2 linked regions of the Coturnix japonica genome follow. The protein of the gene in region 1 interacts with the protein of each later gene in a pairwise test. Links are inferred from orthologs where the notes say so. Each region holds a gene or a part of one and is shown on either strand. Other genes may lie near its edges.

Evidence for each region.
Region 2: the proteins of LPXN (region 1) and HOXC9 interact in binary tests that used the Homo sapiens proteins (3 or more experiments, as listed by UniProt). The two-hybrid records come from large-scale screens. The link is inferred for Coturnix japonica from reciprocal best matches to the Homo sapiens genes LPXN and HOXC9.

What each region holds. Positions count from the first base shown.
Region 1 is NC_029520.1:7,835,875-7,851,649, reverse strand, and holds LPXN (leupaxin), read left to right. Parts: upstream 1-7,154; 5' UTR 7,155-7,233; coding exon 7,234-7,276; intron 7,277-7,367; exon of another isoform or gene 7,368-7,838; coding exon of another isoform or gene 7,839-7,851; intron 7,852-8,406; coding exon 8,407-8,555; intron 8,556-8,667; coding exon 8,668-8,723; intron 8,724-9,034; coding exon 9,035-9,140; intron 9,141-9,212; coding exon 9,213-9,368; intron 9,369-9,437; coding exon 9,438-9,611; intron 9,612-9,676; coding exon 9,677-9,758; intron 9,759-9,870; coding exon 9,871-10,019; intron 10,020-10,429; coding exon 10,430-10,696; 3' UTR 10,697-11,040; downstream 11,041-15,775. Other genes in the region: E3 ubiquitin-protein ligase ZFP91, read right to left, coding at 1,375-1,497, 1,978-2,067, 2,492-2,528, 2,780-2,995, 5,891-5,916, 5,997-6,370; CTNND1 (catenin delta-1), read right to left, coding at 12,786-12,797, 12,996-13,061, 13,185-13,282, 13,404-13,451, 13,749-13,836, 14,340-14,454, 14,550-14,742, 14,959-15,109 and 1 more. UniProt on the Homo sapiens protein: Transcriptional coactivator for androgen receptor (AR) and serum response factor (SRF). Contributes to the regulation of cell adhesion, spreading and cell migration and acts as a negative regulator in integrin-mediated cell adhesion events.
Region 2 is NW_015439867.1:138,977-151,770, reverse strand, and holds HOXC9 (homeobox protein Hox-C9), read left to right. Parts: upstream 1-6,673; 5' UTR 6,674-6,956; coding exon 6,957-7,500; intron 7,501-9,588; coding exon 9,589-9,833; 3' UTR 9,834-9,903; downstream 9,904-12,794. UniProt on the Homo sapiens protein: Sequence-specific transcription factor which is part of a developmental regulatory system that provides cells with specific positional identities on the anterior-posterior axis.

The sequences.
Region 1 (15,775 bases):
AAGAAGGCAATGTTCTCGAGAAATAAGTGCTTTATGTGGTTTGCTCTCACAAGACATCCCATTTCCTAATGCATCTTTAATAAACGTATAATTTTGCCAACACGGTCCAGTACTGATGGTGTCCTTCTATTTCCTTTGCTCTGTTGGGTAACATTTCGTGCCATGTGGAAAACACCAGTCTGCGTGGCTAGGAAGGATTGATGACCTAGCAGCTATTTTTCAGCCCTCTGAACTAACCAGAGCAGCTTACACACCTGCCAAGACAAATCTATGCCCTGATCAGACCTGTGTTTACATGTACAATGTACCCTCCCAAGCAACAGCTCTGCCCAGAAGGTTGTGCCTGCTTGATCACACCGCTGCACCAAGACTCTTCACACAGATTGATTAATTCTTTTCTAGCCCATACTGAGACATTTTACTGATGGTGAGACCATGCCAGTAAACAAGCTGAGCAGGCACTCAGCATCCAAGCCAAACCTTCAGGAGCAGCACAGTTTTTCTTATATGCAAAAAAAGCATCTATTCCAAACACACAACCAGAACCCTCAGAAAGCCCCATGTGGCATAAAAAAAAACAAAGATCTTCACAAAAATACTTCTCTCCAATGTCAATCAGCCTTGCTGCAGCTTAGAAGCAGCGTGAGAAATTAAAACAAAGGTGTGCAAAGCCCCACGCTGCTGCCAGCAGAGGGAGCTCCTTTTGTTCCCATTTCTAATAGAGGAGATCAAGTGCAAAAGCTGTTTTTTTCCACTATCCCAAACAATGGTTTGGACCCAAACACACAAACACGCTCCCCCTCAGCTGCAGCACTAAAGCACACCCAGGTAGGTGTTCTGAGGCTCCACTCCAAGCATCGATGATGACCAGGGAGCTTCAGTTCCTTCTCTCTGCTCCTCCAAAAGGAGGGATAACGCAGCTGTTTTTCCTGAGCTCTGGCGCATTAATCCCAAATGCACCAAGAGGAAGCTTTCCACACGACATGTATGAAGTACTCTACCTCTGGACACACACTGCAAGAGCTCTGGCGTTCCCAGACTGGCTTTCTAACACAGCCTAACACTGAAGTACAACACACTTCAGATAGCTGAGCCCTGTTTTTAAAACCTCTCTACAGTATTTCACAGGCAGGCTGACTAAACCCCAGCATGGAAAAACACTGCTTCAACTAAATGAAAACATCACCTCTTGCTTTCCCTCGCCAATCGCAAGCAGGATGCTAAGAAACAGTACTTCAGTCAGAACAAGAGGCTCTGCCCTATTATCTTACAGGCCCAGAGGGGAAAAACAGCATACAACAGTGTTTTTGTTGTTAGCAAGAATGTGTAATACACTGTACACGCTGGTACAGATAATTGCAGAATTTTACTCACTTCCTTGGTGGCTCTTCATCTTCCCGAAACTCACTCTCTTCTTTTACCTCTACTTTAATCTCCTTCTGTTTCTCTTTTTCTTCTTTTCCCTTGCCAGCTTTTCTCCTTTGCTTTGGAGCTTCCCTACAAAGACACAAATACAATCTATCACTCCAACGTTAAGTGGTATCTATTTAACGATACCCCCATGCCTCTGTCTTCCTCTGAGCCTCTATACCCCTGGCTTGCTGTGACTGGGTTTCCACTAAATTAGCACCAAGAGCTTCCTGTCCTTCCATACTCTTTAAAAAGCACTGTCCACTCTTTACAGTTAGGCAAAACCTGGATAGGACTTCATGTTTTAATCAAATCCCACTTCTAAACAAAGCGGAATGGAGGTCTAAAGATGCACCTGGCTGCTGACAGGGCTCTAAAAGCTTCAGACCACCAGAGAGAAAACGTTCCCAAGAGGTGTGGGAGATGAGGAGAACACTACACCCGATGGGAGCCACTACATGTCAGCAACCGGCATGGTTTGTCTGGGTCACATTAAGCTAGTTCAACTAAGAGGTCACAGTTGCTTCTTTAACCTAAAGACACAGTTAAGTAGGTAATCTATCATACTTTTCGAGATGGGGCTTGTAGGTTTCATCTCTTGGATCATCTTTGAAGGGAACTTCTTCCTCACTGGCAAGGATCTCCTCCTCATCATCACTGACAGGAGAAAAGGAGAACAAAGGAGTTATGCAGTGACAACTGAAGCACTACTGCAAGAATAATCATGCAGTTCCCCATAGGATGGGAAAGACATGCAGCAGTTCTCATCCCTTGTTTGCACTAAGAAGCACAACTAGGCAGAGCAGCGTCCTATTGAGAACCCACCCAACTACAGCATCGGCTGCAGAAGGAACAAGGCTTCCAGCTGAAAGGCCCATGCTGACCAAGCCCAATTCTCCAATATCTCCTGACACCTGCAGCCCATCAGCAATCCAAGCTGAAAATGCGAAGGGCCAGGACTGCGTGGGAACACAGCTGCCATCACTCTCACAGACCATGTCACAAGCATTTGAGAAACTGTTCACATATGGTGTTTTCTTGACACTAAATGCAAAGAACTGTCCCAGAAAAAGTTTCCTACCTGATTCCAGCTGGAGACCGATGCTCATCTGTGACCTCTGAAAGGAAAAGTCACCATTAGGTTTCAATCTGTGTTCGCTGCAGTGAGCTCATCTGTCTCAAGATACCTCCGCCGACATTCAGCGCCAGGAGTGCTGGTGGCAGAAGGTACCTGTGACAAAGCAGCACCACGCCTGGAGCAGCCACAGTCAGCACACAGCTCACTGAGTGACACCCACACACAGCTCCCTTCAGAGGTTCCCACAAGTTACCTCTCTTCAGGCACTTCACACCAGTGCTTCCCACATACCGTATTCCAGCTGGTCAGAGTTGGGTTCCGACTTGCAGACGAGCTGCAGGGAGCCAGTCTTGGACCTGGAGGCACGTGAGTTCTCGGCTTCACGCTGGCGGGTGGCAGTGGCTGATCTGCTGCTGCGCCAGCTCCTGCTGGGCCGGGCTGTGCTGACTGGAGAGCCCTGGTTGAGGGCAGGAGAAACCTCCTCCTCCTCTTTCTCTTCTTTGGGATCTGAAACACCATTAAATCTCACTGTTAATCTAAGACCAGCTTCAAAACCGACCCATATTTCAAGTCATGTTTGGAGAACCCCCTAAAGACATGCCCAATCCAAAGGGGACCCTGGATAACAATCCTGAGGAACCCAAGCTGGTTGTTTCTAGTCTTGTGCTAGAGCAAAAATTATCACAAGCACTGCCACCCGGAGGCCTGTGCACTCATTTATTGCTTCTACAGGTGGTTCCTCTTTAGCTGATGGCCGACCTCCATATAGGTTTTGGCAGGAGAACAGAACCAACTAAAACGTGTATGCGAGCAAGTTCATCTCTTTAAAAATTAAAATTCCAAGTGCAGTTCACCTGATCTCACTTCCTGGTGGTTGGTGGAACACCGGGCCTTAACACACTCAAATGCTTTCTGACATTTCACAAACGATGTGCTAAAGGAATCCATCCCAAGGAGCTGGCCGGGCTCTGTGCTCCAGCTCTGTCACTGCATTAGCACACTGGCACGGGGCCTGAGCTCCAGGCTCAGCTCTGAGACACTCCTTCTCACTGACATCCATTTGCATGGCTGTGTGGCCCTCCCCAGAGGGCAGCCAGGCACAGGGAGTAGGGCTGGATGCCAAAGCCGTGCTGCTGTGCATCCCCAGAGGGCTTCAAAACATGAGCTCCACACTGAACCCACACTCAGCAGGGCCCAGAGGCCCCCTGAGGTCCCCTGCCCCCTCTGCTCTTCCCTCATTTTCCACCAAACCTTTGAGATAGAACTTCTGGTACGGTGCTCGTTTGGGGCCCCATCCTCAGTCCCTCATTAACAGTTGGAGTGACCAACCTTTGACTGATAAATCTGATTGGAATACAGGATATGAGGCCTCAAAACAGCAACCAAATCTGATGTTTTACATACACAAAGCCACCTTCATTACAAAACACGAACTATGCCTTCTTTCTGCCTTCCTGGTTGCGTGGATCTCAGCACCAACTACATTTGCTTTATGTTTTTAACCCTAATTCTGAAAATCCTTAGTTTTTTTGAACACTAAATCAAATTCATACACCTGGAAACCATTCTCTAGCATCCTTCCCACAGAGCACCACCACTCTACACACCAACTGCTGCCCTCAAAAGATGTTTATCCCCTCAGCAGATCTGGAATTTGGCTGATTTCTTATTCAGAGCCCATATTTTCTACATTACAAATACAGAGTTGAAACCGGCCCCCATCAGAACTCGTTCCTATGAAGCACACCACAGACCCAGCAATTTTGCTCCACTTCTCTAAGTGAAGGTGTGAATGAGCCTTTTCCTGTGTCACTTTCACCCCCACTTCAGCACTGTCTGGCAGATTTGTTGCTTTTTTATACATGCTGTGAATACTTCTGTGCCTCTGAGAAAACACAGTAAGAGCTGCTCCCTTGACTGATGATACCTTGCAATAATTAACCTTGCTGTTTCCAGTCCCGTCTTGGACACCACACTTAACCTGGTGAAACCCCTCTCCTCCCCCCCATGTACCTGAGCAGAAAGCCACGTGCTCCTCAGTTAACAGGATTTGGGTAATTAGAGCAAGAAGTGAGATAAATGGAATGCATGTTGCTATTACAGATCATCAGGCTCTGTTGAACTCCCCTTAAACAGTAACTCTGTGACAAGCAGTTCTATGCTGAGGTGCTTTCACCACTCTGATCCTCCCCAACTTTCAACTAACAGCATCTAGGGTGGAAAACACGCAGATTAACAACGGACCTTCACTTCAGTAGGCAACAACCATCCTTCCACGATATGATCCCTCAAGAAAACATTAGACAGCGACAGGAGGGAAAGCTGAGAGGCAGCCAGATGCAGAGATAGAGCTCTGCTGTCATGGCTTGGAGAAGCAAGTGAAAATGCTCTGGGGAGGAGCTTACCCCAGGACCATCCATCCTCACTCAACACGTGGGCCATCACAGCTCATGGCAGCCTTGGGAATAAGCACACCCTGGTGTAATGATGTCCTTGGAGCACAACACACAGGGATACCCAACCAAAGAAAGCATCTCTATCACAGAACCGGTGGGTACCACCAACTGCTGCCACGGCTCAAAGAACCACAGGAAGCACTCAGCTCTCAGTTTGGTAATAGAAGGCCATGAAATGCATTCATTAAACATACGTTCCAATAATTAAAGTTATTCAGGCCTAACAAAAGTGAGAATTATTCCCACAAGAGCCCACGCTGTCACAGAGCACCCAACGTGGCACACACTGCACAGCTATACAAGTCCGTTTTGAAGCTGAGATTATACGTTCCCCTTCTGAAAGTAATATTTCTATAGAAACACATTAGGGAAATATTGCAATTGCATGACTAAGCAGCCAGGAAACACAGCTGCCCTCATGCACATGGGCAACAACCACACACACACCCTGGCACACCACAGCTTTGACTTTACTCTTCCACAATCACTCCATCAGACCCACACAGATGGATCTTTGGAAACAACACACAGCACTTCACCTGCCCAAATCCAGGGGCTCCTCACATACACCACGAGCACTAAGCACATACACACACATGGGCTCTGTGCTCAGTGCACTATGATCCCTAAGGGAGCAGCAGTGCACACCATTCACTACTGCTACACACTGGGACTCCAGAGAAGATCAATAGCTGCACATCCACCTGCAAACCCACACCTCTATTCAGAACAGCCCAGCACAGATGTGAGCCCAGCTGTGCCAGCAGCTGCTCGGGGCCGGCACAGAGATACCCTGGTGGTTAATTGGGAGAACAAAGTTCCTGCACGGTGGGTACTTCCACAGCCCTGATACACCTTGGAATGGAGCTGCACGCCCCATACACACACAGGGCTTCCTCCTAAAGCAGCTCCATCACACAGCACAGCGGAGACACGCGGCTCTTACCTCTGCCGGACGCTTTATCCGTGCACCTGGGGAGACAAAAGCCGGGCATAAGAGGCAGCTCCCAGCGGGGCCGGCGGTGTCACGGTACGGCCATGTCCGCACTCACCCTGCTCGTGGCGCTGCCCTCCTGGCTGCGGTCGTTGTCCCCGCATCGTGCAGCTCGTTGCCGGGCCGTGCCCCGGGGCTGCTCCTCCGTCTCCGCGGGTACTCAGCCTTACGGCGCCGGGAGGCGGCGGTTCCCCCTGCGGCCCGGCCCCGCTCCCGGCCGCCCCTCAGCACCCGGCCGCCGCCGCCGCTCTCCTCCCCCTGCTCGGCGGTGGCCGCAGTCGGGCGGCGGCGTCCCGATGGCGGCGGGGGCTTCTCTGCCGCGGGAGACGGGCTCCGTGCGGGCTGTTCCTGCAGCTCCGGCTGCCCCTCCTGCTCTTGCTGCTGCTCCGGTTGCTGCTCGGCTCCGTCCGGCTGCTCGGTGCCCGCCGGCATCGGGGCGGCAGACGGAGGTGCCGCGTCTGGGCGCCGCTCCCGCCCGCCCCGCTCCGCTGGCCCCGCCCCGCCCCGCGCTCTCGCCCAATCACAGCCCGGTATCCGTTTTCACGCGGGCCCCCCGCGCCCCGCCCCTTCCCGGCTCCGACCAATCAGCGGGCGGCCACCGACCCGCGGCCCTCCCGCCTTTCTCCGCCGCTCGCGCGCCCACCAGCCAATAGACGCCCGAGTTGCGGCAAGACCCGCCCCCGAGCAGCCGCGCGGCCAATCGGCGCTCGCCTCCCCGCGCAAGCTCAGCCGCGCTCGGTCTCCCGCCTCCACCTCCCCCCCCTCACTCCGGCCTGCCCCGCTCCGTGCGCTCCCGCTCCAAGTCCCGTTACACTCCGCCGTTCACTCCGCCCGCCCGGCCGCACTCCCGCTCCCGCCGCCTCCCGTCCGCTCCTTCCTACCGCCGCCGCTCCCCGCGCCCCTCCGGCCGCCCCCGAGTCCCGTTGGTCGGGATGGTGCAGTGTGCCCTGCTTGGTGTGCCGTGTGGCCGCTGTGTGCAGCCGGGATGCGGCGCTGTGTGCCGGCTCGGCTCGGCTCGGCACGGCTCGGCCCGGCTCGGTGCGGCCCGGCCCCGCTGCGGGGCTGTCGCTTCTCCTTTAAGAAAAAAAAAAACGCCCCGTCGGGCGGCGGGTGAAAGTCGGTGACAAAATGGCGGCCGGCGCAAGGGGGGCGGGGACAGCGCGCCGAGCTCCGCCCACTTCCGGCGGGGCTCCGCGCATGCGCTCGGCATGATGGGAGTTGTAGTGCGGCGGGTGCGGCTGAGCCGGAAGTGGCTCTGAGGGCGATGGCTGGTACAGCTCCCAGCATAGAGCTCAATGGGACGGAGCGCCGCCATCTTGTGTGCCCCGTGGCGCAGTGGTAGGAATGCCGCCTTGCGACACCGGAGGCCCTGGGTTCGAATCCCCCCTGTGGCGCAAGTGGTAGAAGTGCCGCTCTGCTACACAGGGGCTCGAATCCCGGGGGTTGGACTCGATGATCTCTAAGGTCCCTTCCAACCCGCACCAGACTGTGATACTGTGATGTTGCCTTTGGGAACCTCTTGTATCCGTCACCCTGACACACTGCGGGGCCTGGCTGAGTGCTCTCACTATGGGATGGTACCGGCAGTGCTGTCACCATATGGCGTGTCATAACCAAACCGTGGTGCCTCAGCCTGGGACAGAAGGGCCTCGTGCATTGCTGAGCCCAATGGCCTGTTCCAAACACCGGGCTGGATGCAGGCGGTGCTGCAGGGATGTGACACCCTTGGTCAGCCATTGCTCAGTTCGTTCCCTTTGTGGCCCCATCACTCGTTGCACACGATGCACAGCCCACAAAGGAAGCACCCAGCGCTGGGCGCTGCTTTCAGGGGTGGAGGCAGCGCTGGGAGCGGAACTGAGCGCGGTGCACCCGGCTGCTCGCACTGCGCTGCACAGGCGGCATGGAGGATCTGGGTAAGATGGGTCCCTGTGGTGCTGGGAAGGCTGAGCTGGGCCTGTGGCCGAGTTCACTGCGGGTGCTGCTGTGCTTGGCTGGGGCAGGTGGGGTTGGAGCACAGGGGGCAGCATCTGCTCCTCCATCTCGGGGACAGACGGGCGGTTGGGCTCTGCCAAAAATGGAGCGTGCTGCAGGGCAGGAAGCGGGCAGCGGTGACGGTGCAGTGTGTCTGTGCGCTGTGGGGCCCAGCAGCCTGCTGAGAAAGGCAGCACCGTGAGCAGGGCTGCCCTCACCCCAGGCAGGGAGATGGGGCAGCTGCTCAGCAAGGGGTGCCCATCACCATGTCTTACCATGAGGGTGGGGAGCTTAAAGTAGAAGGAGAAAGGACTTGATCTTCTGTAAGGATCCCACCGCCCTGGGGCACAGGAAGCATCAAGGCTGAGCCTTCCTGTGCCAGGGCTTGTGCTCGGAGAAACTTCAGGGTGATTGATGTTCCTGCATAAACTGGAAACAGCTTCTGCCTGGGGCACGGAGATGGGCAGTGGGTTCCTTATTCGCATCTCTCCATGCAGATGCGTTGCTGGCAGAGCTGGAGCAGAGCTCCCAGCCGGCCCCCACCAACTGCACGTTGCTGACAGCGAGCACCAGGCAGCAGGATGCACCTCCAGGCAAACCCCCAGCCCCAGGCAGCCAGAAGCCTCTTGCCTCGACAGCCCCGAAGGTAATGCCCAGGGCCTGGGAACGGGGCTCGCACTGCAGCCCTGCTCATCCCATGACAGGGGTGGGATGCTGCAGGGTGCCGGGAGCTCAGCCACAGGGATTTGTCCTTTCAGGTGCCACTGCCACCTCGGTCTCAGCCTGCAGGCAAACGTTTGGAAACCGTGTACAGGTAAAATACAGCCATGAGATGGCAGAGCCGTCGGGGTTACCCCTTCCTTAGTTCAGACAGGCTCACTTGGCTTCCTCAGTGTCCCCACCAAAACCAGGTCCTTCTGCGAGCTGGGGTGAGGGGTCACATCCTGCTGTGCCCACTGCCAGGGTGAGGGGTGGGCTTCCAGCATTGTCCCCATGGAGAGCCCCTGTCTCCTACCACAGCTCGTGGGGAAAGAGCAGCATTTTGAGGGTGAAGATGCTCTGTCCTATGTGCTCCTCAGTCTCAAGGCTGAAACTGCAGCACCTATTGCTCTCTGCTGTGCCCAGCAGCCCTGTGCCGACCCCACAACCTCTGTCTGCTTCGCCTGAACCCACAGCGGCCGCCCGGCAGCTGGATGAGCTGCTGGCTGACCTGGGCCAGATGCAAAGCAAGGTGAGCTGCATCCAGGGGCAGGCAGCACAGAGCAGGGTGGAGCCAGTCCCTCACTCACCCCCATCCCCGCAGCTGGCAGCAGTGGGGCAAGGAGCTGGAGCTCCAGTGGGCCCTGAGCACTCTCTGGACCACATGCTGGGTGGCCTGACGCGGGACCTGCAGGAGCTGGGCATCACTGCTGCTCCTGCTGCCGTCTGTGCCGCCTGCCACAAGCCCATCGCCGGCAAGGTGAGCCACGGGGTGGGGGCCTGGGGTTCACAGCAGCCTCCACGTCCCTCACTCATCCCTGTCCCGCAGATGTTCACTGCACTAGGTGAAACCTGGCACCCCGAGCACTTCACCTGTGCCCGCTGTGGGCAGGAGCTGGGCGGGCAGCCCTTCTTTGAGCGTGGGGGGCAGGCGTACTGTGAGGAGGATTACCACCAGGCCTTCTCCCCACGCTGTGCCTACTGTGCTGGCCCCATCCGCGAGGTAAGCACAGCCCTGCCCACCTCTTTGTCCCTGTACCCAGTGCCTCACCTCTCCTGTGCCCACAGAGAGTCCTCACCGCCATGGACCAGACCTGGCACCCCGAGCACTTCTTCTGTGCCCACTGCGGGAAGGTGTTTGGAGATGAAGGTTTGTCTCATGGGGACATCCCCTACTCCACACCACATAACCCAGCCTGGCACCTGCATCTCCATCCCAGCCCTCCCGTAGCCCAGTTCCCATCTCACTGCCTTCTCTGCAGGTTTCCATGAGCGCGGTGGGAAACCCTACTGCTTCCAGGACTTCGTGGTCCTCTTTGCCCCCAAGTGCCAGGGCTGCGAGCGGCCACTGACCGACAACTACCTGTCAGCCCTGCAGGGCGTCTGGCATCCCGAGTGCTTCGTCTGCGCAGTGAGTCAGAGGGGTGCAGGGCTGGCACATCTCAAAGCCACGGCAGCCTTCTCCCTTTGAATACTCATTCAGTCTGGAGGAGATTCAGGGGAGACCTTATTGCTCTACACTGACCTGAAAGGATGTAGTGGGGAGGTAGGGGTTGGCCTCTTCTCTAGGGTAACATTGAGAAGATGAGAGGGAGCAGCCTCAAATTGCAGCAGGGAGGTTCATGCTGGCTATTAGGAAACATTCCTTCTCAGAAAGTGGTGCAGCACTGGCACAGGCTGCCCAGGGAGGTGGTGGAATCGCCATCCCTGGAGATGTTCAACACATAGATGTGGCATTGGGGATGTCTGAACATGTGTGGGTTGACAGCAGGACTAGATGATCTTAGATGTCTTTACCAACCTTATGACTCTCCCCTGCAGGACTGCATGAGCAGCTTCACCAACGGCTCCTTCTTCGAGCTGGAGGGCCGGCCCTACTGCGAGCTGCACTTCCACCAGCGGCAGGGCAGCGTGTGCCACGGCTGCGGGCGCCCCATCACCGGCCGCTGCATCACAGCCGCCGGGCGCAAGTACCACCCCGAGCACTTCATCTGCTCGTACTGCCTGGGCCAGCTGCACAAAGGCACCTTCCGTGAGCGCGGGGACAAGATGTACTGCCAGCCCTGCCACGACAAGCTCTTCCTTTGAGCTCCAGGCTTCATGCTGCTAGGAGCTGCTGCTCTGCTTGGCTTCCCTGGCAGCAGCACCACGAGCACTGCCCTGCTGAGCCCCAAACCCCTCGGGTTTTATCCCTCAGCATCCCCAGCTGCAGCAAACACCACCTCCGGTCCCACCCCTCCACAACCACAGCATTGCTCCTTTCATACCCCACAGCCTTGGCATCGCACCCACAAAGCCGCAGCTTTCACTTGAGCAGGTTTCCCCCGGCCACTTCTCTGTTGTTGCCAGATAAAGAAATTACTGTATTTCTTAGAGTTTGTTATTTCTTAACTTGGGCAAATAAATAAACACCATCCCAGTGCTACATCACACTTCAACTCCTCCCATTACTGTCTCAGCAGACACCAGCCCCAGTGGCAAACCACTGTGCTTAGCTGTAAGGCTAAGATAGGAGAGGCATCAGCCTCATGTCCAACACGCGCCAACAAAAGGTCACACTTTAAAAACTTTATTTATATAAAAAAATCATTTTGTTTGAAAAGCGTTACAAGAGTGTGCACAGGAATCAGACAAGGAACAGCGGGGTGCTCCTGCCCCCTCCACCCTCACCCTGCAGCCAGCTCCCCTGCCCTGCACAGGAGAGGAGGGAAGGGGGAAGCTTGGTTTTGTGGTTGGTGTTTTGTTTGTGTGGTGGGTTTTTTTTTTTTTGGTTCATCTGGAATTAAAAAATTAAAAGGAATTAGTGTTTTACGTATTGAAAGGAAAGAGAGAAGTTAGACCCCAGAACAAAACCAAACGGAGCTGAGGTGTGGCTGGAGCTGGAAGAGCGAGGCACAAGTGTGTGTACTGGGGAGGGCTCCGTTCTCCAGTTTGCAGCCTTGCAAGGAGGTTCCAGTTGCACAGGGAGCCTAAAAGCCTCCCCCTGTTCACCCCAAAGATCACAGCACCAAACACGGCCCCACCACCACAGAGATGCTCCAGGACAGGAGGGGAGAGCCCTGCCCTTATTCAGTAGTGGCAGCCAAAGGCAGCAGGGCTGGGATCCTCCCCCGCTGGGCTTCCAGCTCAGCCCCACCAGGAGCCTGTTACACCGCTTCCCATAGCGAAGCCAGACAGTACAATTCAAAGAGCTATTTCACAGTGGCAAAAGAAAGGCACATGTCAAGAGAAGTCTGAGGGGGCACTGCCACGGGCAGCTGGTGCACGGGGGTGGATGGGATCCAGGCCCTACCTGCTGCGCATGCCCTCAAAGACCCACCGCTACTTCAGCCAGTTCCCAAAGAAAGCCGGCCCCAAAAGCCCTGCTGCTTCTCCTCCTCCCCCAGGGAAGGATCACCCCAGGGCAGAGGCCTGTCCCACCACACCACGCAGACCCTCTCCCTACATAAGGATCCCTCCTCTTTTCAACTGCCCCATCCAGACCCCCCGTTCTCCCTGGCAGGATCCAGAATCAGGCCAAACAGTCAGAGTTAAGATAGATCCCTCTTCCCACACCCCCAAAGCCTCACGTAGATCAAAGCAAGAAGAGTTATTGCTGCTTCTCCTTTCCACCAACACCCCCGTGACTCCAGCCTCCTTCGCACCCCAGTCCCGCTGCCACCAGGGAGGGATGCTCTTGTCCCTGCAGCCTCAGCTGAAGAGTGATCCCACACACAGAAAAATATCCTATAGGCAACAAAGGAAGGTGGCAAGTAAGGTCTTGGTCCCTGTCCCCGCAGTAGACTCCGAGCAGAAGGAAGGCGCGGCAGAGAAGGCAGTTCCTGGTCAAGGCAGAGGTCTGGAATTGTTTTGCAGCATTCTTGCCAGTTGTGGCAGGCAGTCAGGCAGGAGGGCCTCCTCTCTGAAGGAAGGGAAGTGGTGGAGGACAGGGAGGAAGAGTTATTGATAGTTGTCCCAGAACAGGGAGGTGCAGCCACTGAGAGGAGGCAGAGCGGCCTGGGCTGCCTCCTGTGGGACCAGGCCCAGTCATTTGGCTGGCGAGTTGGCACTAACAGTCCAGCGAAAAAAAAAAAAAGAGTTGAAAAAAAATTGGGTCCATTCCACCACGAAGAGTTATATATATTTATATATATAAAATATATTATCAACCAAATTGAGCGGAGGCAGGAATAGCAGCTTAAATCTTCTGCTGTGGAGAGAGAGGGGGAGAAATGTTAGCACATCCAGAGCAGGAACCATCGGTGAAGATACATTTACAGCCCCCGTGGATCAGATGGTGATTGCAGACAGCAGCGATCAGAGCATGATTTGACTGCCTAAAGCACCCCAACAGCACAGCAGGATTTGCCACCGCTCATCACATTGGACAGGGTGCTGCAGGACATACCGACACAGGGGAAAACACAGCAGAATCTTCCTCTGCCTCGGGCTGGGATTCCTGCCCCTCCTCCTGCTGCAGACACACGGGGTTAGTAGGGCCGAGGAGCAGGCGGGGGTTAGTCACAGAAGCCCAGTTCTCCAAGTGTCATTCCCTGCACCTCCGCCCACTTAAGTTGCATTAAGAAAAGCTGCTCACCATCAGCGGTGCTGCCTTCACTGGCTCCGTGTCTCTAAGATCACCAGATCGGTCCAGTGTCCTGCTGTGGTCCATCTCATTAAGTGTGGAATAGTTGTCTGGAGGAAGACAGCAGACCATCAGTCATGCTGCCTTTCTGTGAGCCAGCATCCTCCCCATCGGAGGCAAGGTGTTCCCAGCACATCAGTGAAGATGCCCTTCCTCCAGTCCCTTTCCTACCTGGTCCCATGTTGCTCATCTGGATCTCCTCCCGGGAGGATTTCTTGTCTACAAGGATGAGAAAACAGATCAGACATATCCTCTGCAGCCAAGAGCAGCAGTGGATTCACTGCTGGATAAGCACAGGTGGAGCTCCAGCCTCAGCACTGCTGGCCCAAGGATACTATAGGACCTATGTAAACTCTGAGCAACCTTTACAGCCTTGAGAAAAAAAACTCCCTAGGTTGATGGTGTTGCATGAGCCCCTGGGGAACCCAAGGAAGCTGGGGGTGAAAAGTACAGAGGGAACACAGGTATCCACAAGTTAAAATGGGGACAAGCACCAAAGGGAGGGTGGGCACATACCTGTTTTTTGGTTCCTGTCGATGAGAGGCAAGGTGCTGTCATCAAATGAGTTTCCCCCTTGTGTCCGAGAGGCATTGCTGAGGTTCACCTGGAGCACAAGACAGCAACCACTCATACTCCATACACCAAGCACACGGCAGCCCCAGCAGGGCTTCCCTCCCACAGCCCTTGGAGCAAAGGACCTGAAGACACCCCAAATCCTTGGGTGTACCCACAATAAAGGGTGGAGGTAGTCTACCTAGGCTGGGTCAGAGCAGCACCCAGCCTTGAAGAGGCAGCTGCAGCTTTTAGGAAAGGAAGCAAATACTGGACGACCTTCTTTTTTCCCCTCCCCTCCTCAGCACTGCCACAATGGCTTTAGTGCTACAGACTTTCCCTGTTGGTAGATCTGATGTTCAAGGCTGCATACTTTGCAGAGCATTTCTGCTCCACTGCTACCTATCCACCCACTGAGAAGTGGCAGAGGGGACACCTTCAAGGGTCTCTAGTGACAGCAGTAAGAGCTGAAATCAAACACTGTTGAGTTCCTGGAGCACTTTCTTCATGCAGCAGGACCCAAGCTGCAACAGGGTACTTCACCATTCCCCATACCTGGAAATCTGATTTCTTCCAGCCTTCCTTCTCCAAGGGTTTCCGCAGCTCTTTATATCCCCAGACTGTCTGCAAGACGAGGGCAGCTGCTCGAACTTCTCTCTCTGAGCGGTTCCTAGAAAGCAGTAAAGCAAGAGATGTTGGACAATGTCCACAGACTCAAAGCAGCCTTGGGAAAAGCCCCTCACTACCCTTCAAAGCAGAGCCTACCCAGTTTTGTTGATCAGCACCAACTTCTCAATCCCCTGCGTTTCCCGCAACTTCTTGGCAGCCTCAAGGTTGTCTACAATGACTTCGTTGATGGTGTTGAGGATGGACACGACTGTATCCTCAGAGAGGTTTTTGGCTGGAGTCTGCTGGCCTCCAGGCAGGTTCTTCACTAGGTTGGGGATGGCATGTTTACCTAATAAGGGCAAATAGTCAGGCATGAGTGAGCAAAGAAAAGGATCAGAGACTGGTCCCCAGTTCTGATTTATCTCCCAAGGAGCCCACTGTATGTTTTTCTGGGAAGTGAACAAGACATCCCCTGCACAGCCACTGTGCCCACGCATGTCCTCAGCCACTCAGTCTAGAGGAAGTGTTAAGCCAGATAGATATGAGGTATGTCTGCAGCTCTCACCTATCAGCTCTTTGTTACGCAAGTCAACAGCCAGGTTGCGGAGAGCTCCGGATGCTGCTTTCACTACACGTTCACTGTCATGGGTCAGGAGGTCAGCAATGGCAGAGAGTCCCTTCTCCTGGCGGAGAGCCGAGCGGATGTACCGGCCATACTGCAGGGAGAGCAGAACACCAGGGTGGAACACAGGCACACACAGCTTCACCTTGCTCCTGAATGTGGGTGTATTACTGGGAGCTTTAACACCCACCCACCTCAGAAACCAAGTGCCCTAAGTATGCCCATAGGGAGAGAACCATCTCCAAGTAACCTCAGGCAATGCCTGTGAATGGGAGAGGACTGATTCACAGGTGTCAAAGCCCCTGTGTCAGCCAGGTAAGCATGACTTTGTTTGATCTTTCCATACACAGAAAGAGAACACAGAGCAAAGGCACAGTAGGACTACAGAGCGGGCCCAAACATACACTCCCTTCTTCCAGACTGCAGAAGGGAAGAAGTGTCAGAGAACAGGCTGCAGACAGAGACACATGCAGCCCTTGGAAAGAAACGGCTGATAGAAAGCAAAGAACCCTCAACAGCAAAGGAGAGATGTGGTCCACATTTGAGTGGTGCTGCTGAATTCTCTCTTCTTAATAGCAAGCCACATAAAGTGCAACAGCCTGGAATGCCAGAGCTTTGACACTTTACAGCTCTGTTGACACCAAAAAGTGATGATCCCCTTTCCCTTAAACACTGATGAACACCAACGTGTCCAGCTCTACAAGGCACTCACCGTCCAACTGCCAGCACACAGATTCTGAATTGCTCCTGCTGAAGCCTC
Region 2 (12,794 bases), on another chromosome or scaffold:
ATTTAAAGGATTCATTACACGTATGATGAGTTTGCCTTCTCTGCGTTGAGTGTCTGCAGATTTCCTTCCCTTCCTTCTAACAGCGTGCAAGACACCAAACAATATCTATTCTCTGTATATTAAGATTGATTTTATTTCGGAGCGACCACCCCCATGGCGAGAAAGAGAAGAACGTAAAGTTAATATATGTTTAGCGACCCAACTCCAGAAACGCAATAAAAGTTAAAAATCTCCCCTATGGTTTTTTAATTATGATATTAGATCAGGAAGAAAGACGGGAGGGGAGGGGGGGGATTTATCACTCCGACTGTTTGGTGCGGTTCTACCCGGCTTAGTTGTTTTTATGTAAAAAACATGGGTAGTCAAAAAGGCTCCATGCTGTTCGCCTTCATCTCTCTCCCCGCGAAATACCGCCGGCTTTGCTGCTTAATGCTCGTGCTATTTCTGATGCCGTTATCGGGGTGAAATATCAGAGATGTTACGATATGCTACGTTGCGTCATATTTTCCCGTCTAATGCTCGTCTCCCAGCAGGTGGAATTTTAAAACCCGGAGGCTTTTTTGCTCTCCTATGTGTGTGTGTGTGTACGAGAGCAGAGCCTGCGGATCAACTTTTATCCCTCTTGCTGCTGGGAATGACTTTGGGGTGGTTTTACGAAGCATCACCCCGTGCGAAGAGATGGATCCGGGGTTGGGGGTTGAGGTGGGGGCTGTGGGGAGATGGGGCTGAGCTGATCAGCTTTCCTTTTTTTAACAGCAGGGACCGGGCTGTGCTTTGGTTTCCTCCCCTTCCAATGCAAACAGAAATGAATGATAAATAAAGGTGGGGGGTGTGGGGGGGAAGCGCCCACTCTCCCGCTTTACGTCTATATTTGCTCCGCTGGATGCTTTTTTTTTAATGGGGGGGTTGCACGATGGGTCTTGAAGTCCCAGCGCTTCCCAGCGAGATGCACCCGCTGCAAAATAACTGGGGCTGATGGGGGGGTGAGGGGGGGTGGGAGAGGCGTCCCCGACAGCAAATGTCCCCGCTCAAGGTTGTTGTCGGAAGGTGTCTGGCTGTCTGGCTCGGGATTTGCATAGGTACGGGCCGTGCAAACAGCAGCTCGGAGGGAGGGGTGGGGGCAAGCAGCAGACGGGACATTGCCCCCAGCTCCTTTATTTCAAGCCTCGGGTTGCGGGCAGGTTTGGGACTGGGTTGAGCTGGAGATGCTCTCGCCAGGCCAAAGAGATCGCGGTGCAGCTCGGGTTGGAATCCATCGCCTAAAGCGGCACCGTTCTCCTCCCCTTCATCCCCCCCACCCCGTGAATTTCGTGGGGTTATTGTCTTATTTGAGGGCACCAGGCTCTTCCTAACACCTTGTGCTCGCTTCCAAGCTCTCTGGTGTGCAACCGGAGCAGCCAGACAATAGGATCTGCAGACACAACTTGGAGCTTGCAACTATAGTTATCTATGCTAATTACAGGGTGTCTGACAGAAACATAATAAATGTAAAGGGAGAAGGATAGAAATATGTTTCTCCAGGCGGTATACAGTTCGCCTCTCTGGGTTCAGGCTTGTTTTCTCGCTCTTCTTTTCATTTTCTTCGCTGGGGATTTTTTTTCCCCTTCCCTTGACCCGCATTGCATTATCACACCCAAAACCGAGCTAACCTGGAATGCCTCAGCGTGAGGCTTCGCTGCTGCTCGGGAACATCTGCAGAGACGGCTTCATCTGGGGGAGACCTGAAATTTGGGGGGGAAAAATAAAGGGCACCGTGGCACACTTAAAGAAATTGTTCAGAGCTTTAATTGCACCTCGGAATTTATTGTCTATTACCCGTACCTCCAACACTGGAGAGACAGGAATTCTTAGCAACAGACAGAGGGGGGGTGGGGGGGGGGGTTGGTGGAGGGGGGAAGCACTTAAGCAGGTAGAAAACTCCTGCAGTGGGGTTTGAAGCGAGAGCTGAATGTCTCCGTCTCTCACGTTGGGTCGGATTTGAGGTTTTCGCGTCGGTGTGAGGCGATAAGAGAGCGAGTTCCTCCTCTCTGTTGTTGGCCCGAAGAGCTTTTCCTCTGTGAGATCTCGTAAGGAGGGCTGAATAAATATGATTTTCGAATAGCCGAAGAATTTAGCGGGGGGGGAGGGGGGGGAGGGGGGCATAGAAGGGGGGGAGAGTGGGAGAGGCAGAGCCCGGAGCCTGCAGTTACTCTGCAGCAGGAAGAACGGGTGGTATCTGGCCTGAAATTAATCTTTCCCCATATTTATTTACTTTAAAAGACAATCCTGGAATAAATAGAGGCATCTGGAGGACCAAGAAATATTTTTGCTGGCCTCTTCAGAGAGTCTGCTTTGGATTCACGCTGTCTATTGTGTGCGATCCACCCCCCCCCTCCCCTTTATTTATTTATTTTTTTTAATAGCAGAAAAGGAACAAAAGAAAGAGAGAAAGAACTTGGTCTGGCAGAAGTGAAGAGGAAGGGAGTGGGGAAAGGACAAAGCGGGGGGAAGAAGGGAACTTCGGAGCTGCTGAGGGCTGAGATGCAGAGGGAAGTTGGCTGCAGCTGACTTCGCTTTCTCGCACGGAGCGATCGGAGCTCAGCACCGCCCTTCCCAGCTCCGCACGGCCGAGGTGTTCTGGGGGGGGGGGGGGGGGGGGGGGGGGAGATTAAGGGACGGGGGGGTGGGAATGGGTGGTCGGAGCGGCGAGAAACCAGCGATTTTTTTTTGTTTATTCCGACCTTGACATGTGGTTAATTGAAACCACGGGGGGGATGAGGCTGAGCTCTTTTTTTTTTCCTTCACCTCCTTTCTCTCCCCCCGGCACTCCCCAACCTCCGCCCCCCCCTGTCACCCCGTTCATGTATCTGTGTCTCTGTGTCTGTGTGTGTCTGCTCGGAGGCTCCATTTGTCTGTCTGTCTGTCCATCCTCCCGTGTGTCCGTCCGCCTGTCGGTGCCCGCTCGGCCCCCAGCGCAGCCCCCGGCGTTCAAGCTCCTCGTTGCCCTGAACGGGCGAGCAACGCTCGGCCCCTGCGGGATGCAGCTGCGGGGAAGCCGGGCCTGCAGCTCCAGCACTCCCCCCGCCGACACTCTGTTGCTGGGGGCTGCGGGATCTCTTTTCCCCACCACCACTTTTCCACCCTCCCAACCTCCCCCCTCCACCACCCCCCCACAAGAAAAAAAAAAAAGAGATAATTTAAAAGCAAGAAAATCCAAGAAATCAGTGTCACCTCATCGCTGTAAGCTCTCCAATAGGGTTTTATTCTCCCTCCCCTCTTCTGGCTTTTATTTTATTAGGATTATTATATATATATATATATATTCTTTTGGTCTCCTCTCCTTCCAATCAGGGAAGAATCGCTCAAAGCGAAAGCAAAAAGGTTTGGAAGGGAGAGGAAAAGGATGCACTGCGCTGAGCACACAGCATTGCCCGGGAGCGGGCGGACATGGCAAGGAGCATTCAGCCCCGAAAAGGTGTCAGAAGTCAATGGCTCAGACAAAGGCTTCGTCTTCTATAACCTCCTCATTTGCCAGGAGAGACTCTTTCTTAATCCATTTTTCCTTCCTCCACCGGGAAATAAAAGAAATATCAGATAGGATTCCTACGGCTCGTGGGCTGCTAGCGTTAGTTTTGCTCCGTGCCACCAAGTTCCTTCCCCCTGCAGATTGAAAAGAGGAGGTGAGAGAGGCAAAGCTGTGAGTCTACCCGGAAAGGGACCCGGTGGTTCACCGTCATTTCGAGAAGCGATCATCTCCCCTCCAAGAGGGAAATCGGAGCTTTTGCGGAGCACAAACGCTGCGAGATATAACCTTGCAGGAGCCGAATGCGATGGCAAAGCGTGCTGCAAATGCGGTGCGGATCTTTGCTCGTGCTTCTGGCCAGGAGGAATGCTCGGGATCCCGCTGCTCTGAGCGGACTTTGATTCTCGTAACTTTGAGCTCAGCCACGAGGGATGGCTTCGGATCGAGAGGAGAGAGGATGGAGTGTTTTGCGGGGGGTTCGAGTTCGTGCTTTGGGATTCCGCAGCACAGAGGGGGGAGAGGAGGCTGCGTTAACCCCGCGTCTGTAGTTTGCTGTAAGGTGAAGTGTCTCCATCTCCTCCTCGCACTGCTCGGTGCAATCCCCGAACGGATGGGGGGTGTTTGTACTGCAATCGCGATCGTTTCACGCGTGTGTTTGCGGGTGTGGGAGCGTGTGAGGGAGCCCACGGCGATGCGGGGAGCGAAACGCTCCGTGCAATGGAGGTTCCCGTGTAAATAAAAGAAATCTTCACCAAGATATGTTCGCCTTTGTGTGCCACCACCAAAACTCCCCATCCACGACTCATTCCGTGACCTTGCCTGCTCGAATGAAGGCTCCAAAAACTGCTGCTCCTCATTAAGGGTTGCGCTGCTTGGGTAATTTCTGCTCGTTTTGCGGTTCGTCTGTGGTATATTCTGACATATTTCTCCCCTGGAAAACGTCCCCACTGAGTCTCAGAGCTCCTCTCCCCCCTCCGTGCTCAGCCCTTTCTCTCTCCTTCTCCCTCTGCCTCTTTCTCTTCCCCTCTCTCCCCTTCTGCACATACACACAACCCTTCTTTGTAAGGATTCGCCCAGATATGCCACCAATTTGGGAAAGCCAGGCTGCTTTCACGTCACTCCCTGCATCTCAGCACCTTCGCACCGTAACTCTGTTTTAAAATGGGAATAGATCAAAGAACGATGAGCACAGATATACTTGTATATAGATACGGTTGTGTTTTTTTTTTTCTTTCCTTGCCAACATAAAAGTAACCGTCATTGGAGAGCTGTGATTGACAGATAAATTGGTCTCGATAAAGGCCAAAGAAGACAGTCTGCTCCCGCAGGAATATTTCCCTTTAAGGGCTCCCATAAAGCAGGGGGCTCGGAACGGAACAAGGGATAAATTCTGCGGCTGAGCGAGTGGATGACTTTCCTCCTCGAATTTGGCAAACCACGAATCCCTCCCCAAACATCCCTCCCGTCGGGGTTTTGTTTCCGAGCCTTCCTTGTGTTCTCCGAGGGGGAAACCCCACTTCCAGGGGCAGCGCGATGCAGTGAAGGGCAGCGTTTAGTGTTGGTTCAGCTGAGGTTCGTGACTTTGGGGGGGTCCGGTTGGACTCTCCTGGCAGCCCCACTCCCCTCCTGTCTGTCTCCGGATCTGCTGGCTTCACTCACGCTCTGATTTCTCCCCCCCTCTCCCTTTTAGACTTGCTGAGAAAAGGAAAGAGCGAGAAATGGAATGCGATTCTGTCCCGGGGGTGCGTGGGATCCGCGCTGGGCAACGCCGCACAATTGGGGACACTCTGCCCTCCCGGTGTCTCTCTGTCCCTGGGGGGGGGGACAGGGGGACGGGGACCACCGCATCTCTCTGATCCCCCCACTTTTTCTTCCTCTTGCAAACGTTGCCCGTTTCCTTCTCTTTCCCCACCGCGTCACCCCAAGCCCTATAAAACCCGAGGTGATTAATAGCCCTGGGGAGCCCGGACAATCAGGCTTATGATTTTGTGTGTGTGTGTGTTGTTTGGATTCCTTATAAAAAGGGAAAGAAGTCAGGAATGACCAACATGTGAAGGAAAAAAAAAACAAAAAAAAAAAAAAAAAAAAAAAAAAAAAAAAAGGAAAAAGTAAAAAGAAAAAGAAGAGGAAAGAAAGAGAGAAAGAGGGATCCTTTTTTTTTTTTTTGGTGGATATATTTCCTTTCTCTTTCTTTCTTTGCAGAGAAATCGCCCAACTCCATTCTTTCAACCCCCAATGGGCGTAAGCCACGTACCTACCTGTCTATGCTTACAAAGGAAAGCTTATCCTCCCAACACGCAGTCAGGGCATCCCCGAGTTGTTTGCTTTCTTTTCTTTTTATTAACCGAATGGGGGGAAAAAAAGCAGCAAAAATATCCTCCCAAACAAACAACCCAACAACAACACCGCACTCAGAAATGAAACCCGGAGAAGCACAAGAAATAGGAGCGCAGCGCCGTGCTCAGCACCCCGCTCTTCTCTCATCTCTCCGCCGCTTTCAAACCCCGTCAGCCCGGCACGAACTCTCAGCCTCGCAGTTTTATTTAACGAACGACACGTTTATGAACAATCAAACGATCCTCGTAAAAATTTTATTGAAGGGCATAAAAACATCCCCGGCCGGCCGTTCTCTAACCGAAGAACGCGGCTCTTTCAGCTCCAGGGCTGCTGTCTGTCCGTCTGTCTGTCCGTCCCCCCCCCGCTTCCCCCTCTTCTTATTTTTTTTGGGTGCTGGTGGTGTTATGATTTCCCCTTCCTCTTTTCAGAGGCGCTCCTCACATCCTTGTAAGTGCTTCCCCCTCCCCCCCCCCCCAATCCGAGATCTCTCAGACATCGCCGCTTTAAAAAAAAAAAAAAAAAAAAAAAAAAAAAAAAAAAAAAGAGAGAGAAAAATATATTAAAAAATAATAATAATAAGGCAAAATATATATATATATCGATGAGAAAAGGTCCACGTGCCATCGGGCTGAGCGCTCCAACCCCAACGAGGGGCTGCGGGACCCCCAACTCCGGGACACTTCTCCCCCCTTTCCCTTTCCTCCCCATCTCCCACCTCCCTCCAGTCTCTCGCAGCTCCAGAAGCCGCAGGATCGGAGGACAGAGACAAATTACGTCAGGAAATAGTTCCTGCTCTCCCTTCCCCCGCTGCCTTCCAGCTCCCCGGCCCCGGCCCCGCTGTGCCCGGCCCGGGGCTGCTCAGCCCCCGCCTCCCCCGCTCCGACGGCTCCGGAGCTTTGAGCGAAGGGCAGCGGTTCGCCCGGGCGCTATTAAAAAAAGACCTGCGGATTGATCCACGCTATATTTTTGGGTAAATACAATCACGTGAGGGCTGGCAGCCAATGGCAAACTGGGAAAGGCTGAAAAAATAATTACCTGCCCTGATTGTTCTATGAGAAGATAAAAAGTACACATACAGTTCATACAATAATCTTATGAATGTAAAAGAGGGGGAACCATGTCGGCTTCTGGCCCCATAAGCAACTACTATGTAGACTCCTTGATAAGCCACGAAAACGAAGAGCTCTTGGCCTCCAGGTTCCCCACCACTGCCTCCCACCCGGCTGCTGCCAGACCTTCAGGATTAGTCCCGGACTGTGCCGACTTTCCTTCGTGCAGTTTCGCCCCCAAGCCGGCCGTTTTTACAACCTCCTGGGCTCCCGTCCATTCCCAGTCGTCCGTGGGCTACCACCACCCGTACGGCCCCCAAGCTCCCGTGGGGGCCGAGCCCAGGTACATGAGGACTTGGCTCGAGCCCCTCGCCGGGGCCGTCTCGTTCCCGGCCTTCGCTCCCGGTGCCGCCCGCCCCTACGGCCTCAAACCCGACGCCTTTGCCGGGAGACGAGCGGAGTGCGGCCCCGCGGACGGGCGCGGCTTCGCGGACTACATGTACGCGGCTCCCGGGGAGCTGAGAGACAGAGCAGCGCAGACAATTCCTTCCCCGGAGTCCGAAGCCATCGCTTCCAGCAAACACAAAGAAGAAAAGCACGAATTAGACCCTAGTAAGTCGAAGTCATTCTTGTTTACAACCGGGGAGGCATTACAGCTTCCAGGACCGTACTCAATAAAATGAAATTACCTTAGAGAGAGAGAGAGAGAGAGAGAGAGGGAGAGAGAGCCCGACCCTAAAACTCCAGATATGCGGGAAGATCTGGGGGTTTGAGAGTCCGCCTCGCACAGCCCGGCAGCGGAGAGCTGCACTTTTATCCGTGGGCTCTTCGGCTTATTTTATCATCAGCGTTATTACTATTATTATTATTATTTATTTATTATTATTTCCATTTATTTGTTCCTTTGCGAGGGGGTTGCTTGGGTTCATCACCTTCCGCTGAGGGGGTCTGAGGGTAGGAATTGGGAGGGGGAGATGAATTAAAGAAGGAAAGGCAGAGGGAAGTGCGTGTGTTGGGGTAAAGGGGGGATAAAGCTCCTCTCTTTGCACTGGTTTCCACTCCCAACGCGGGAGGACGGGGTTGGAGCTGTGTCCCCCTCAGGATGGAGGGGAACATGTTGCTGTTAAGGGGGTGGGGTTGGGGGGGTTGGGAGGGGATGGAAGAACTGCTGAGGTGCCTTTTAGATGAAAGGAAACGGGGATGAAATAAAAAAAAAAAAAAAAAGAAAAAAGAAAAAAGAGGAAGCTCTTTTATCTGTCTGAAAAATCAAGAGGAGCTGCTGCACCCTTGCAATTGTTCCTAAAATACCCTTAGCACGTGGGAATAAAGGAAAAGGTGGGTACCCCCGAGGGAGGGAGGGGGGAGAGAGATGAAGGGGGAAGGAGAGAAGAGGAAAATTGGCGAAGAGATGGCACCCAGTGAGTGGGGAGGGAGGTGGGGGGCACGGGGCAGCGGGCGCAGGACATCAGGACATTGGACCATACACTTGAAGAACCTTCTGCAGCTCCTGAGAGGGAGGGAGGGGAAAAAAAACATCCCCCAGCAAACCTTGAACACGGTGTATGTGTGTGTATGTAGGGGGGAGATGGACAGCGTTAGGGTCAGGTAACCCCCGGCACCTCTATCCCCAATAGAGGGGAGCCGGCGCTGCCCCAAACCCTGCAGGACTCCGGGCTGTGGGTCTGGGGGTGATGGTGGTGATGTCTGTGTGTGTTTGTGATGGTGGGGGGCTGGGGGGTGAAGAGGGGAAAGACAAGAGGATGCTCCGTGTGTGACTGCACCTCCCGGCCTAACTTTGGGTTGAAAAAAGGCGATTTCCTTGAGCCGAGCCGGTTGTCAGCCTCAGGCAGCACCTTTGTGCCTACGGAGCTCGGAGTGAAGGTGGAAATGCACTCACACCTCCGTTTATCAACCCCCCCACCTCCTCAGCACCATCACCCCTCGATACAATTAAAATCGGAAGGGGGAAAAGTAAAAGCAGGGATATGGGAAGGCGGGGAGGGGGGGACGACACGCATGGATTTTAGCTGGAAGGTTAAGGAAAGGAAAAGCGAAGGGAAACGGGCACGGAAAGGGAGGAAAGCTTTTCCTCCCCGCAACGTGCGGGGTCCTGGGGGCGAGGAAAGAGCCGCTGGGACATCTCGGGTGTCACCTCCGAGATATGGCAGAAATAAACGGCACTTTTCAGGTCCTCCAGAGCTTCCAGGGAAAGCAGAGCAGAGCTGAGGCTGTAAAAAGAGTTTATGGGCCTATGAAATGGTGGGAATTTTGACTTTTTATGACTACGTCCTTAGATTACAGCGAGCAGCAAGTCGGGTGGGTCATCATTATTATTATTTGAAAACCCATCGCTGCGGGTTTTATGCGCCGAAACTTTTCCTTTATTTGCTTTTATCCCCCCCCCTTTCTTTTCAATGTGAGAACGGCGGCAAAAGGAAAGGAAATGGCCCCTCCAAAATAAACAGCTTAAACTCTCTCTAGCGAAGGTCGCTCGGAATATATTTAGGTGAGGTCTGCTGATGAAGCAGGTCTCTTTCAGCATTAACGTGGGCCTGGGGGGGAGGTTGTGTGTGTGTGGGGAGGGGGGGGATATAGAAAGGCAGCGGTTTGCATTGCTTTGTAACACCCCCCCCCCATCACCCAACCTCCCCCCCTTCCAAAACACACAACGCACACCGAAAAAAATATCTTCTTTCTCAGACAACCCCGTCGCAAATTGGATTCATGCGCGTTCTACGAGGAAGAAAAGATGTCCGTATACAAAGTATCAGACCCTGGAACTGGAAAAAGAGTTTTTATTCAATATGTACCTCACGAGGGACCGTAGATACGAAGTGGCCAGACTCCTCAACCTCACTGAGAGACAAGTCAAAATCTGGTTTCAGAACAGGCGAATGAAAATGAAGAAAATGAATAAAGAGAAAAGCGATAAGGAACAGCAATGAATGTCGTGCGAGGAGAGAAACGAGGGCGGAAAATAAAAGGAGAGAGAAAGAGAGAGAAAGGCAAAAAAAAAAAAAAAAAAAGGAGAAAAAATAACACAAAAAAAAGGCAAAATAAGGCAAAAAAGGCAAAAAAAAAGCTGATTTTTTTTGGGGGGGTGGGGGGGGTCTGAAGTGATTCTGCCGTTGGATGCGCGGATGGATGTTTAGCTGTAGAGGAAAACGCCGTTTTGGGACTCGAGGCTTTTCTAACACGCAACCGAATAAAGGAGAAAGATGCTGTTGTGGGAGGGGGTGGGGGGGGCTGTTTTCCTTTCTTCTCCCCCCCCCCCCCCCCCCCCCCTTCCTTTTGTATTTTATTTTTGGTGTGTGTGTCCTCGGAAAAACAACCCCAAGAAGTACTTGAATTTCTTATTATTAATAATAATATTTTCTTTTTATTATTATTATATTTCTTTTTTTTTTTAGTATTTTATTTCCTAAGTTAAACGGATGCGGTATTTTTTTTTTTTTTTCTTTCGTGGTTCCGCGAGCGAAATATTTTGTATTAAAAAAAAAAAGAAAAACCCCAAACAAAGAGGAAAAAAACAACAACAAAAAAAAAAGAGAGAGAGAGAGGAAACAGAAAGCAAAGAGACCGGAGGGAATGCGGCTCCATGATGTCCTGTCACGGTGGTGAACGTTTCTGCTGTACCCATTTGTGTGTTTCATTCTCGTCTCACGGCCGTTCTGTAATATTTGTTCTGTTGGCTATTGTAGAGCAGCTCTGTAAATATACCGAACGTGGAGGGGTTGTAAGGGGAGGGGGGGGGGTTGGAGAAGGGAGGGGTGGGGGGTTGCGGGAGGGGGAAGGATAAATAAAAGGGGGTGTTGAAAAAGAAAAGAAAAAGGAGAAATAATAATCTATCTCGGTATGGAGATGGTCTTTTTCTTGCCGTGGGGAGAACACGGGAAGCCCACGGGTGGAGGGGAGTGGGGTTCGGTGCTTCCTTCTTCCCCCCCCCCCCCCCCGCACCGCCCTATTTCACAGCCCATAATAAAAGGCGCTGAGGTAAGGGTTCTCCGTGCATCCATTTTTAGATGGGGATAATGAATTGTACTAATTTATGGCCCCCGGGGCAATCGAAGGATATGTTAAAAAAAAAAAAAAAGAAGAAGAAGGAGTGTGTGTGTGTGTGTGTGTGTTGGGGGGTGAAATGTGGGTGCTTGGATGAGAGGAGATGGCAGCTGCCGTCCGCTTGGGGGCGAGGGGTTTGGGGGGGGGAGATGTGCCATAGAGATGCGTGTTGTTTATAGGTGGGGAAGTGCTGCAGGGTGGAGGGGGGTAAAGGGGAAGGGGTGAAATCCAACAGAACCTCTTATCCATAATTGATAACGTTGATAATGGGATAGAAGGGCTGGGGTGAAAAGTGGAAGAGAGAAAGAGAGAGGAGGGGTGCAGTGATAGGGGGGTTATGTGGATGGGGGTACGTTGATAAGGGTTGTTATTGATAGGGGTGGATTGATAGGGGGACATTAATAGGGTAGGAGGTAAATGAAGAGGGAGATAAATTAATAGGGGGGTAAAGAAGTGATGGGGGGAGTGTGGAAGAAAGAAGGGGGTGAAGAAATAGAGGGATAAATGAATGAGTGGGAGATGCTGCATGGTGAAAATTGAGTGTGAATAAAAAGGCAGAGACCCCCCCCTAATTCAACCCCAACCCGGCCCTCTATGGAATGGCGAATTTAAAGAAATAAAATAGAAGAGAAAATAAAACGAGGAGAAATGGGGGAATCAAAGGCTGTTTGGGTGCGGGATGGTGAAAGCGTGCAGTGCGGGGCGAGGGAAAGCAATATGCGGAACCCCGTCGGGGAGTGGCATGGCCGGCTGGTGCCTCTCGGTGAGGGTGACGCTTTTCCGGGCTTGCTGAAAGAGGAAGGAGAGTGGGAGGTTGGATAAAAAACGAGCATGCGAGGGATGTTTTAATTCATAAAAACTTGTTATAGGTCCCTTTCTTTAATGAAATGAGTGGAGCGGCGTTTTAATCTTCCTAATCAAAAAGCAGATCGGGCATGGCGAGACGATCGCTTGTCGCCCTGTGCCCGGTTCCTCTGAAAAATCATATTAATAATAATAGTAATAATAATAATAATAATAAAAGAAGAAATCTGGAAGCGATTACTTCTGCCGATCTCATAAAATATCGCTCTTTCATATTTCTTCCCGGCCCTGATTTGTGTCAGCTGGGCGTGGTTATAGAAGGATGCCCCCCCCCGCCAGCCCGTTGCTCCCCCCTCCCCCCCATCCGCGTCTCTCATCGCCTTTTTATTTGCTTGTCGCCGTTTGGGGACAACGCTCCGCGGTGCGGAGAGGGGACATCCCCGGAGCGGGGGACGTTCGGAGCCCGTTTACAATCCCGGTTTTGTTCGGGCTCTGTTCGGAAAACCCTTCAGGAGCTCATTGGAGCGGTCAGGTTGGAAAACGTTTTAACGGAGGAGCAGATTTATGGTCCAAAAGGAGGGGGAAAAACAAGAACATGAAGGAGGAGGTGGTGGTGGTGAGGAGGGGGGGGTTTGGGGGGGATCTCTCGGCCTCGTGTCATTTCTTTATTACGGTTATCATTATTGTTATTGTTGTTATTTCCAACCCATCCCTGCTTCCCTGCCTGCCTTCATCCTGGTTCGGATAAAGGAGGAGATCAGCAGGTTCGAACCGCTCACCCATCTCCTGCTTGGAGAGCAGGGAGAGATCGCCCGGCTTTATCGTTATTAATTAAAGAGAAAATCCCAATTTATCGCTCGGACGGGACTTTGGAAGCACTTTCGAAGCCGGCTCTCTGGAGGGGCTTGTCAGAAGCGTTTAAGCGATGTTGAAAAGCCGTGATGTATGGAAGTTCATTTTGGTTCATTCAAACGGATCCCATCTCCTGCAGTCGTCGTTCCCCCCCCCCTCTTTCCCTTTCGCCGCAGCCTCCTCTCAGCCCC